Caenorhabditis elegans: one gene and its partner. The protein of the gene in region 1 interacts with the protein of each later gene in a biochemical or structural test. Each region holds a gene or a part of one and is shown on either strand. Other genes may lie near its edges. The genes, in order: pdf-2 and pdfr-1.

The links.
Region 2: the proteins of pdf-2 (region 1) and pdfr-1 interact in a test that uses a peptide from one of them, tested with the Caenorhabditis elegans proteins (one large-scale study listed by BioGRID).

The regions. Positions count from the first base shown.
Region 1 is NC_003284.9:2,161,327-2,164,776, forward strand, and holds pdf-2 (Pigment dispersing factor homolog pdf-2), read left to right. Parts: upstream 1-2,057; coding exon 2,058-2,162; intron 2,163-2,226; coding exon 2,227-2,295; intron 2,296-2,345; coding exon 2,346-2,441; 3' UTR 2,442-2,743; downstream 2,744-3,450. UniProt on the Caenorhabditis elegans protein: Probable ligand of isoforms a and b of the calcitonin receptor-like protein, pdfr-1, a G-protein coupled receptor. May not signal through isoform c of pdfr-1. Involved in locomotion; may play a role in circadian rhythms of locomotor activity.
Region 2 is NC_003281.10:6,647,970-6,652,981, reverse strand, and holds the start of pdfr-1 (Calcitonin receptor-like protein 1), read left to right. Parts: upstream 1-1,956; 5' UTR 1,957-2,013; intron 2,014-5,012. UniProt on the Caenorhabditis elegans protein: G-protein coupled receptor for PDF neuropeptides. Plays a role in responses to environmental signals, including chemicals and touch, and in modulating locomotory behaviors. Capable of transducing signals via an adenylate cyclase acy-1 cAMP-dependent pathway.

The DNA of each region.
Region 1 (3,450 bases):
AATAGAGAGTTTTGTTTTCGAATTAACAGTTCCCAAACTCAATTTTTCTAGCAAATCCCACTCATCCCTTTGTATCGTTAACTTTTTTCCCAGCCTATCTATTCCAATTATCATCTGTTGCTTATTACTTCTGCACTTTCAGATCACAAAACTAATGCAGAATAATAAACAAAGATCCTGAGATTATACTGATCAGAAAACAGGATAATAATTTCACTTTCAAGTTGACTGGTCTACCTAGAAGCTCAAAAATCACTCTGGAAACTAATTTTATCCAAATTGAAATATACTTTTTCATTAATTATTTATCAAGTTCGTATCAAATATTACATTAAAAGTCGTGTTCCTTGTAATTCTTTTTTTTCCAGAAGCTGCAATTTCTTGAAGACAACTAAGCGGAAATTAACCACTGGCACGTCATACAGGCCGTTGCTCAAGTACACAATGTTATAATTAACTTCGTTTGACTCATTTGGCATTCAAGACAGCATACTATATGCATTTTCTGACGACTAGCTCATCAGCTCTTCAAAATTCTACTGGCCAAACTTCGTGTCATTCTTGTCTGGCAAAATCTACATTTTTTAATCAAAAAGTAAATGAAATCGGATGAAAACATTATACGGATGCTTCCCTGTCTAACATTTCCAACCCTAAATTGAAAATTGGAACCATTCACATTTGCGTCGTTTTTCTCTTAATTCCGAATAGTCATCTAACTATAGTCGGACGAGTCATCTATAGAACTTCACTCATTAAGTGTTCCACTTCGTCTCATTTGGACATTATTTTTATTTTTTTGAATTTCGAAGCTAATGTTTTTCTCTAATAAAAAATGATGTTTGAAAATGGATAATGAATGTTCGCGGCATTTTAATACTAATATACAGTACAGTATTGTAATTTCAAAGAGGGTCTTATAGATTTTTGATGTTTTGGTTTAGAAAATAATATTTATAAAATTTCCATTTCAAAACTTTACAGAAAAGGTGAGGATTTACCAAAAAAAACCATAAGCACATACACTTTTTAGTCAAGTATTTTTCATAGGTGGTCACTTTATAATTTTCATCCGTTTTTTTCTCCTTTCATTTCAATTATGTAACCTAAAATTTGGAAGTCGATTTTCATAGGTTTCCCATTTAACTATTTACAATCCCATAATACACGAATTTCTTAAAATTTGATGATTTTTTTTAAAACAGAAAAATGGCTTTTGATGTTCGGTCAGTGCACTTTTTCTTCAAAAATAACATTTGAATAAAAATTTCCTCTTAATGACTGTCAACTTTCATAATAATTTATTGGGAGCTGTAAAGCTAAAATTTTATGTAATAATTTCTGCCTTGATGAATTTAATTACATAATAGCTCAGAGTTTCTCAACTCTTGATAAAATGTATAACCAAATCGGTGAACATCGACTAGTAAAAGTTCCAATAACCAGACAATGTTGTGTTGCCCTGTCTGAAGAATTACACTTTGATGATCATATATTCCTGGAATTCAATTCCCCAGCTCCATAGTTCAGTTGTTTTCATTCGAGAGACTTCGGAGCATTCTTTTTCTCGCAGGCAACTCATCAAAAATAATAATGAAAGCTGTAGTAACAACATTCTAATTACGGATCCTTGTGGGCGTATCCCCGCAGTAGCACATCTCTCACATTTTCCCGTAAACCATCAACTCTAGAAATCTTCTATTTTTCTCGTCTCAGCTCATTGGCTCAATCAGAATCTTTCGATTTCACGTATATGATTGGCTCAGCGCTCGAAGAAATTTGTTAGGGGGCGGGGCTTGATTTACATGATTCTCATATTTTCCCCTTATTCATTCACAAAGGTTTATTCTGAAAATCATTTTTTTTTTCATTTTTCACCTTAGCGTACTTTTTTATTACGAAAAAGTTTTTGGCATGTTACATGCATGAGTCAAATGATGAAAAACTACTGGATAAGAAACTTTTTTCAAATTTTCCTGCTCATTAGCCGCCCCCTCGGGATCGTTTTTTGTTGCATCGTGTTGCATCAGGTCATCTCAACTTGCTACTTTTTCCAGATGAGCTCTCGAATTTCGGTCTCCCTATTGCTGCTTGCTGTAGTGGCAACCATGTTCTTCACAGCCAATGTTGTTGATGCGACCCCAAGATCACAAGGAAACATGGTAAGTATGATACGATGGAAGAAAAACAAATATTTGAACAACAAATATTTTAAAACAAATTCAGATGCGTTACGGCAACTCTCTTCCAGCGTACGCCCCACATGTCTTATACCGTTTTTACAACTCAAGACAGGTGCTCACTACTTTCGTACTTTCAGAATTCAATAATCTGAAAATTTACAGTTTGCTCCAATAAACAAGAGAAACAACGCCGAAGTAGTGAACCATATTCTCAAAAATTTTGGAGCTCTGGATCGACTTGGAGACGTTGGCAAGTAAAAGTGCACACGGATCTGATAATTTCTAAAAGCACTTGTAGTTGAACACTTATTCACTTTTGAAAGTTGGCATAGTTTTTGAGACCTGAACAATTGCCAATTCTATGTTTACTTTTGCATTCCATAATATATTTTTCACCATTCTCTCAAATTCTCTGATTCTGACTGAGGCTACCACAAAACCGATTTATTCTTTGCTTTAATCGATATTTTCGTACAACTGTGCTGATTCTTTATGTCACCTGTGACACCGAAACCTGTTGAAAATAAAATGCTACTTGTTCAATAAACGCTTATTCAGTTGATTTTCGTTGTGCTGCAAAAGGAAAGACATACGGAAAAATGCAAAGTTTCGACAGGAACTCAATTCGTTAAAAATTGGCAATGGAGAAATTGCCTGTGAGAAAATTATTAAATATCCAAATAAAACGATTCTAAAAATTCTCGAAATGTTTTTTATTTTAAAGGTGGAGTAGCGCCAGTGTGGAACATGTTAAAAACTACACCTATGGTGAAAAAAACATTTCAAAATTTTTCAAAATTTTTAATTATTATATTTGCCTTGAAAGAATATGAAAGAATTTTAAACATTTTCCTTATTGTCGTAGTCCGCCAATAACACACTGACAAATTTGTTTATTGAGCAGTTGAAATGTAGTAGTTAACAATTTTTCAGATCACTGTTTCAGATAAATAGGTTCTGTAAAAAGTGGCTCAGAAATGTTTTTTTTTACATTTAAACTTGATTTTAAGATGCCGTGTAAACCTAAAAACAACTCGAGATGTTTTCTAGAAATTTTAATTTTCAGAAAAGAAACCATTTTTTCAGCAAGCTTTCTGAAAAAAAAACTCCTGCAATTTTCCTATTTCTAGGCACTTTTAAAATTATCAAAATCTGCAAAAACTCACAATTTGAGTATTTTCACGAGATTCTGAAGTAGTCAAGACAAAAACAAAATTAAATTGATGGAGTTTTCCTGTCTGTGAATCTCCATTTAGTTCTCACGTTT
Region 2 (5,012 bases), on another chromosome or scaffold:
ATTGTTGTAAAAGTTTGAAATTTGCTAATTTTACTATTTACATTTTTTGGTATTTTTTTAAAAGTCTTCCAACAAATAATTGTGATGGTTAACATTCTGTGGTCAAATTGCTAAATTGAGGAATCTACTGTCTTGAATTTTTATGTAAGACAGTAAGCCATTTCCACAAATAAATACTTGGCATTACTCATTCGGAAAAAAAACAATTGCTAAACTCTAGTTTTTCACAAAAAGTCAAATTCCCATAATCAGGATTTCTCCGAATGATGGGGGAAATTGAATTTTTCGGATTGAGAGTAGGGCTTCTAAATTCTTTATTTGAATGGATGAATTAACACACACAAATTCTGAAGGAAAACTAACAACTTATCAGAATAAATTTGTAATATTACACAACTGCTTAAGTTTTATGGCTGATCTCATGTAATTGCAACAGTGCTTACACAGAAGACTCAGATTTTTCTCTCAAAATGCAAATGTCTTGTTTCGCGAGGTTTCGTTCAATTCAAAATTTTTAAACGGTACATAAAATGAATGATTAATTTTTAAACTTCTTATTTTCACGATTACCGAGTCTCTAAAACTATTTTTCCACTTTTCTCTATCTGTCTTCACTTGAAAAACGATTGAAGCCATCAAAAATCACCCAGAGAAACTTTCTTTTTCACGTTTTTCGACACATTTGCATTTTGATTACCTCTTCCTACACATGACCTATCTCTTTTCTCACACAAACTTTTTCACAGAAATCTTACATTTTCTTGCTCTCCATCTTTCTCTTCCTGCAAAAAACTAATTCTCTCCATCTCTGTATGTCCTTGTTTCTGGAGAACCTAATTTCCATAAAAGCCAGAAAATATTCTTCACTCTCTTTCATCGTCCTTATTTATTATCATTCAATCTTTTAAAAGTAAAATTATGTCGTGCGTTCACCTAATTATTCAGCTTTATTGCCCCCAAAGGCTCTTTTTTATGTATGTCGGAGCAAGTTTTCTTGACAACAACAAGAAAACACAATTTATGACTTGCTTGAATGTTATTAATTGAATGTTTGATTCTATTCTTGGGCGAATATTGCGGTACACTTTCTTAGAACCTATAATATTTTATGCATTCCAAAGATTTTGAGCTAATCTTGGTTTCAAATAAATAATAATGTTGCAAACCTTTTTATTCCAAAAAAAAGTAATATGTGAAATAATGTCAAGGTAAAGTTTGGCTTTTCGGTTTCAGTTGTAGAGTTTCAGTGATAATTTTTAGTCCAGTTAGAGTAGTTTTAAGTTTTTTCTACGCATTCTGTTTGAATTTAACTTCTATACATTTGGCATTAAATGTCATGTGAATTTAAAGCATTGATACAGTAAGATGTGTCCTTAAATAATTGTATAAAACGAGACAACTCAATTTCAAATTAGAACTGAATATCGTGCGTCCCCTAAAACCTTACATTAACTGTACAGTTGTGGAGCTTTATAAACCTTTAAACTTCTTTTTCTAGTTTAAGATATTGAAGAAAAATCACAAAAAAAATCTGGTGATGTTTTAGATGTCTTCAACTTCCACTATTTCTACTTCAATCTACTTGTTTTCAATAATTTCTGAGTTTTTCATCTCCGAAGGAACAGAAGGTGTTCCATAACTAATCAAACTTGACTTTGCACATTTCCACCATCATCACAAATATGATCGTCCCATATCTAATCAAATTGTGTGTGGGAAACTCCAACGAGTTTTTTGTGCCTATTTCCTCGTTGAGCAGCAATCCACTTGAAAAATCCAATCATCTTGGAGAAGTAGAAGACGAACTCGAATCCAATTCATGGCCCCGGGTTTTCACGTTGGTTAAACTTTTTCTCCTTTCATCCAATCACCTCTTCGAGTACGTTTCTTGTTCCGCGCCGCAGTTTTTTTTCATATTTGCTTTGGAAATTAAAATAAATAATTTTGATTTTTCAGGTAAGACCAGTGAAAACAAGACAACGAAGAATTGGTCAAACGTCGAATTGAAAAATGGTAAGTCGACCAATTATCAGATTTATTTTGGATTACACATGTTCTTCCGCTCTTTAATTATTTTCTTCTTGTTAGTCATTATTTAAAGTTCATTTTGTTTATACTCTTTCGCATTTCCCATGATTTTTGCAAATATTTTATTGAAGTTGAAAATTAGGGATTCCAAAAAACGTTTGAAAGAATAAACGACCTTGAATGGGTCTAGACAATTCATTTTTCTTGGATTGTTATTTTCGTATTAATTGAATTTTTACAAATGCTATTTTCAGACCAACTTGATATTTTTAGATTTTCTCAGTTTTCCGGAACATTTGCTATGTTTTTTGTCTGTTCAGTTTTGCTTTCATATGTATTAGCTCCTCACAACCGAATTATCAAAAAACTGTAAAAATAGAACATATTGAAGTTTATAGAAAATCGATGAACCATGTTTTTATTTTTTGAAGATGATACGATTCGTTATCAAAACTAAACCTTATATGGTAAACATTTAAATTTTCCTGTATACGTTCCTGCAATCTACCTACCTGCCTTCCTTAACCTCCCAACTTTTTTGGAGATTTGGTATTTGAATACTTTTTAATGTTGATTAATGATAGTAGTACTATTCTAAAGCTTAATCTTTTCTTGTAAAACAAAAACCTTATGACCTTTCTCATTCAATTCCTGTAACCTATTCTGCAGAATCCTTTTCCCTTGAAAAAATGAACATTTTCAGAAGGGTAGTTGTCTGTGTTTCTACTCTCCAGAGGATACCCACGCTGCCCCCGCTGTTAAAAAAAATATAGGGAGAAAGAGAGAAAGAGCAAAAATAAAATAAATTGGGCCAGAGCAATTTTCCATATCTTTTCCTGCCCCAGCGAGTCTTGTTGTTTCTTCTTTTGGTGTTTCTAAACACTCTAGGATTCTAGAGATTTTCAGCAGTTTGCAATCTTGAATTCTTAAATTTAACTTAAGTCTTGAAACAAAAACTTAAAAATTCACGGTCGCCTTCCTTTTTCTGTTTTTCTCAATATTTTCACTATTTCTGAAGAAATGACTCGTCGGATTCAAAGAGAATCTAAGAAAGTCTTGAAGAATCAAGAATTTCATCAGGATAAAAGCTGAAGACGTCAGTTTTATCTTGCTCTTCTTCATTGAAGTGAAAAGAGGAAGGGAAGAATGAGATCTGTAGAGTCACGTGATGGATGTTTGATATAAACTAATGTCTTCTGATGCTTTTCCTTCTTTCTATTCACTTTAATGATGGACCACTCATTCATGTTTCCTTAAAGACTTCTTGAAACTTTCTTGTTCCATCTACTTGATAATGACCATAGCCTTGAAACTAGATGAAAAGTCTTTAGAATTTCCTTCCAAACTTGAAATATCGGGAATAAAAAATTCACAAAACTTTTTCAATTTTATACATTTTAATTTTCAAATATCGTCTACATGGTTCCAGTGGGTTATAATATATTATAAAAAATTTTAAAATCCATGTATTAAAAAAATTAGAAAATACAGTAAAACGTACTTTTCCAGTGAAAGTGACAGAAAGGGCGCGAGGGTGGCGATGAAAGAGGCGGGTTAGATGCGTCGACGCCTCGTCGATGTAGATTGTCTGAAACGCAAGAGAATCTGGGTTTTCAATCTGAAGTTCTACAACTATTTTTTGCAATATTAATCTAGACCAAAATAGCAGGGTTTCATGAAGAACCATAAAAAGGATGCACTATGAGAATTTTGAAGTGTACTCCGTACTACAACTACATGACCTGATCTTTAGTGCAGTTAAAAAATATGAAAAACACGGAACAGAGTTCCTAGAGATGAAAAATGGTACCATTTTCGGCCATGATTTATTTTACGATCAGTTAAAACATTCCACTTGAGATAAGCAAAAATTATTAGTACTCTGTTCCAGAACACTTTTATATCTCATCTGAATATGCACCATGATTAGATATAAAATATATAAATTTTCTATGATCTGTTGTGAGATGGTCCCATCTCCCAATTATCTGGTACTCTGAGACACTCGCGAATACTCCCATCGTGTTCGCCGTACCAGAAAACCTATAAACCGCTCCTTCCAGTCGCTCTATCTCCCCCTTTCTCTAATCTAATGCGCGCCCTCATTTGAATCTCCCGCCAAGCTCAATGGTCTCGCAGCGAGTGTGCGCCGCGGGTCTCACCGCGCGCCCTCCTTGCTCGTCCTAATTCGCTGGCCTAAATTAGTTTCGACTCAACTCCCTTCACTCGTCTCGTCACCGCTCCTGCGGATCGTTCTTCTTTTATAATTATTTATCTTTATTTATTCCCTTAATAGTTTATCACCCGCTTTAGTGACTTGTATAGCAATCTTCCTATACGGAAGACGCTAACATCCGCTAATGACACGTTAAACTATTCCCTTATCGACAGTTCCCCTTCTTTCTATATTCTTTCGAGCTAATAAAGGGGGTTTCATGGTAACTTCTCGTGTTATATCGTTCACACCGCTTATCTCTCGTTCTTGCATGGCACTCCGCAACCGCCAGTTCTCTCTTAGACTTCTTTCCGGCTTGACCCCAGTGGTGGATCCCCAACCCACTATACTGGGCGGTCAACATGGAGTTGGACACCCATGTAGGTTATGAGTTTCTTACCTGGATAAACCGGTTTCGGAGCCATCTGGCGCGAGCGGTCGGATGATGATGATACATCCGCCGGTGCTCCTCTCTAGCTAGTTGAGTCAAACCCGCATGGTTAAAGCCCCCTTCGGATGCTATTCCCGATGTGGTTTGGTGAGTGCATTTGACTGGCTATCGCGACCAGCTCGGCATCAAGGCAGAAATTCAGAACACACATGGGGGGAATGGTTTTTTTTTATAAATTTCTTAGCCTTCTCCCAGTCACTTTTCCATAATCGTTTCCTGTTTTGCAATCTGAAACCTTTTTACGCAGAAAAAGTTTTCCAAGTACTTTGCTGACCAGAAAAGAAGCTTTTGAAACTCGAAAATACCTGCCCATTGCCA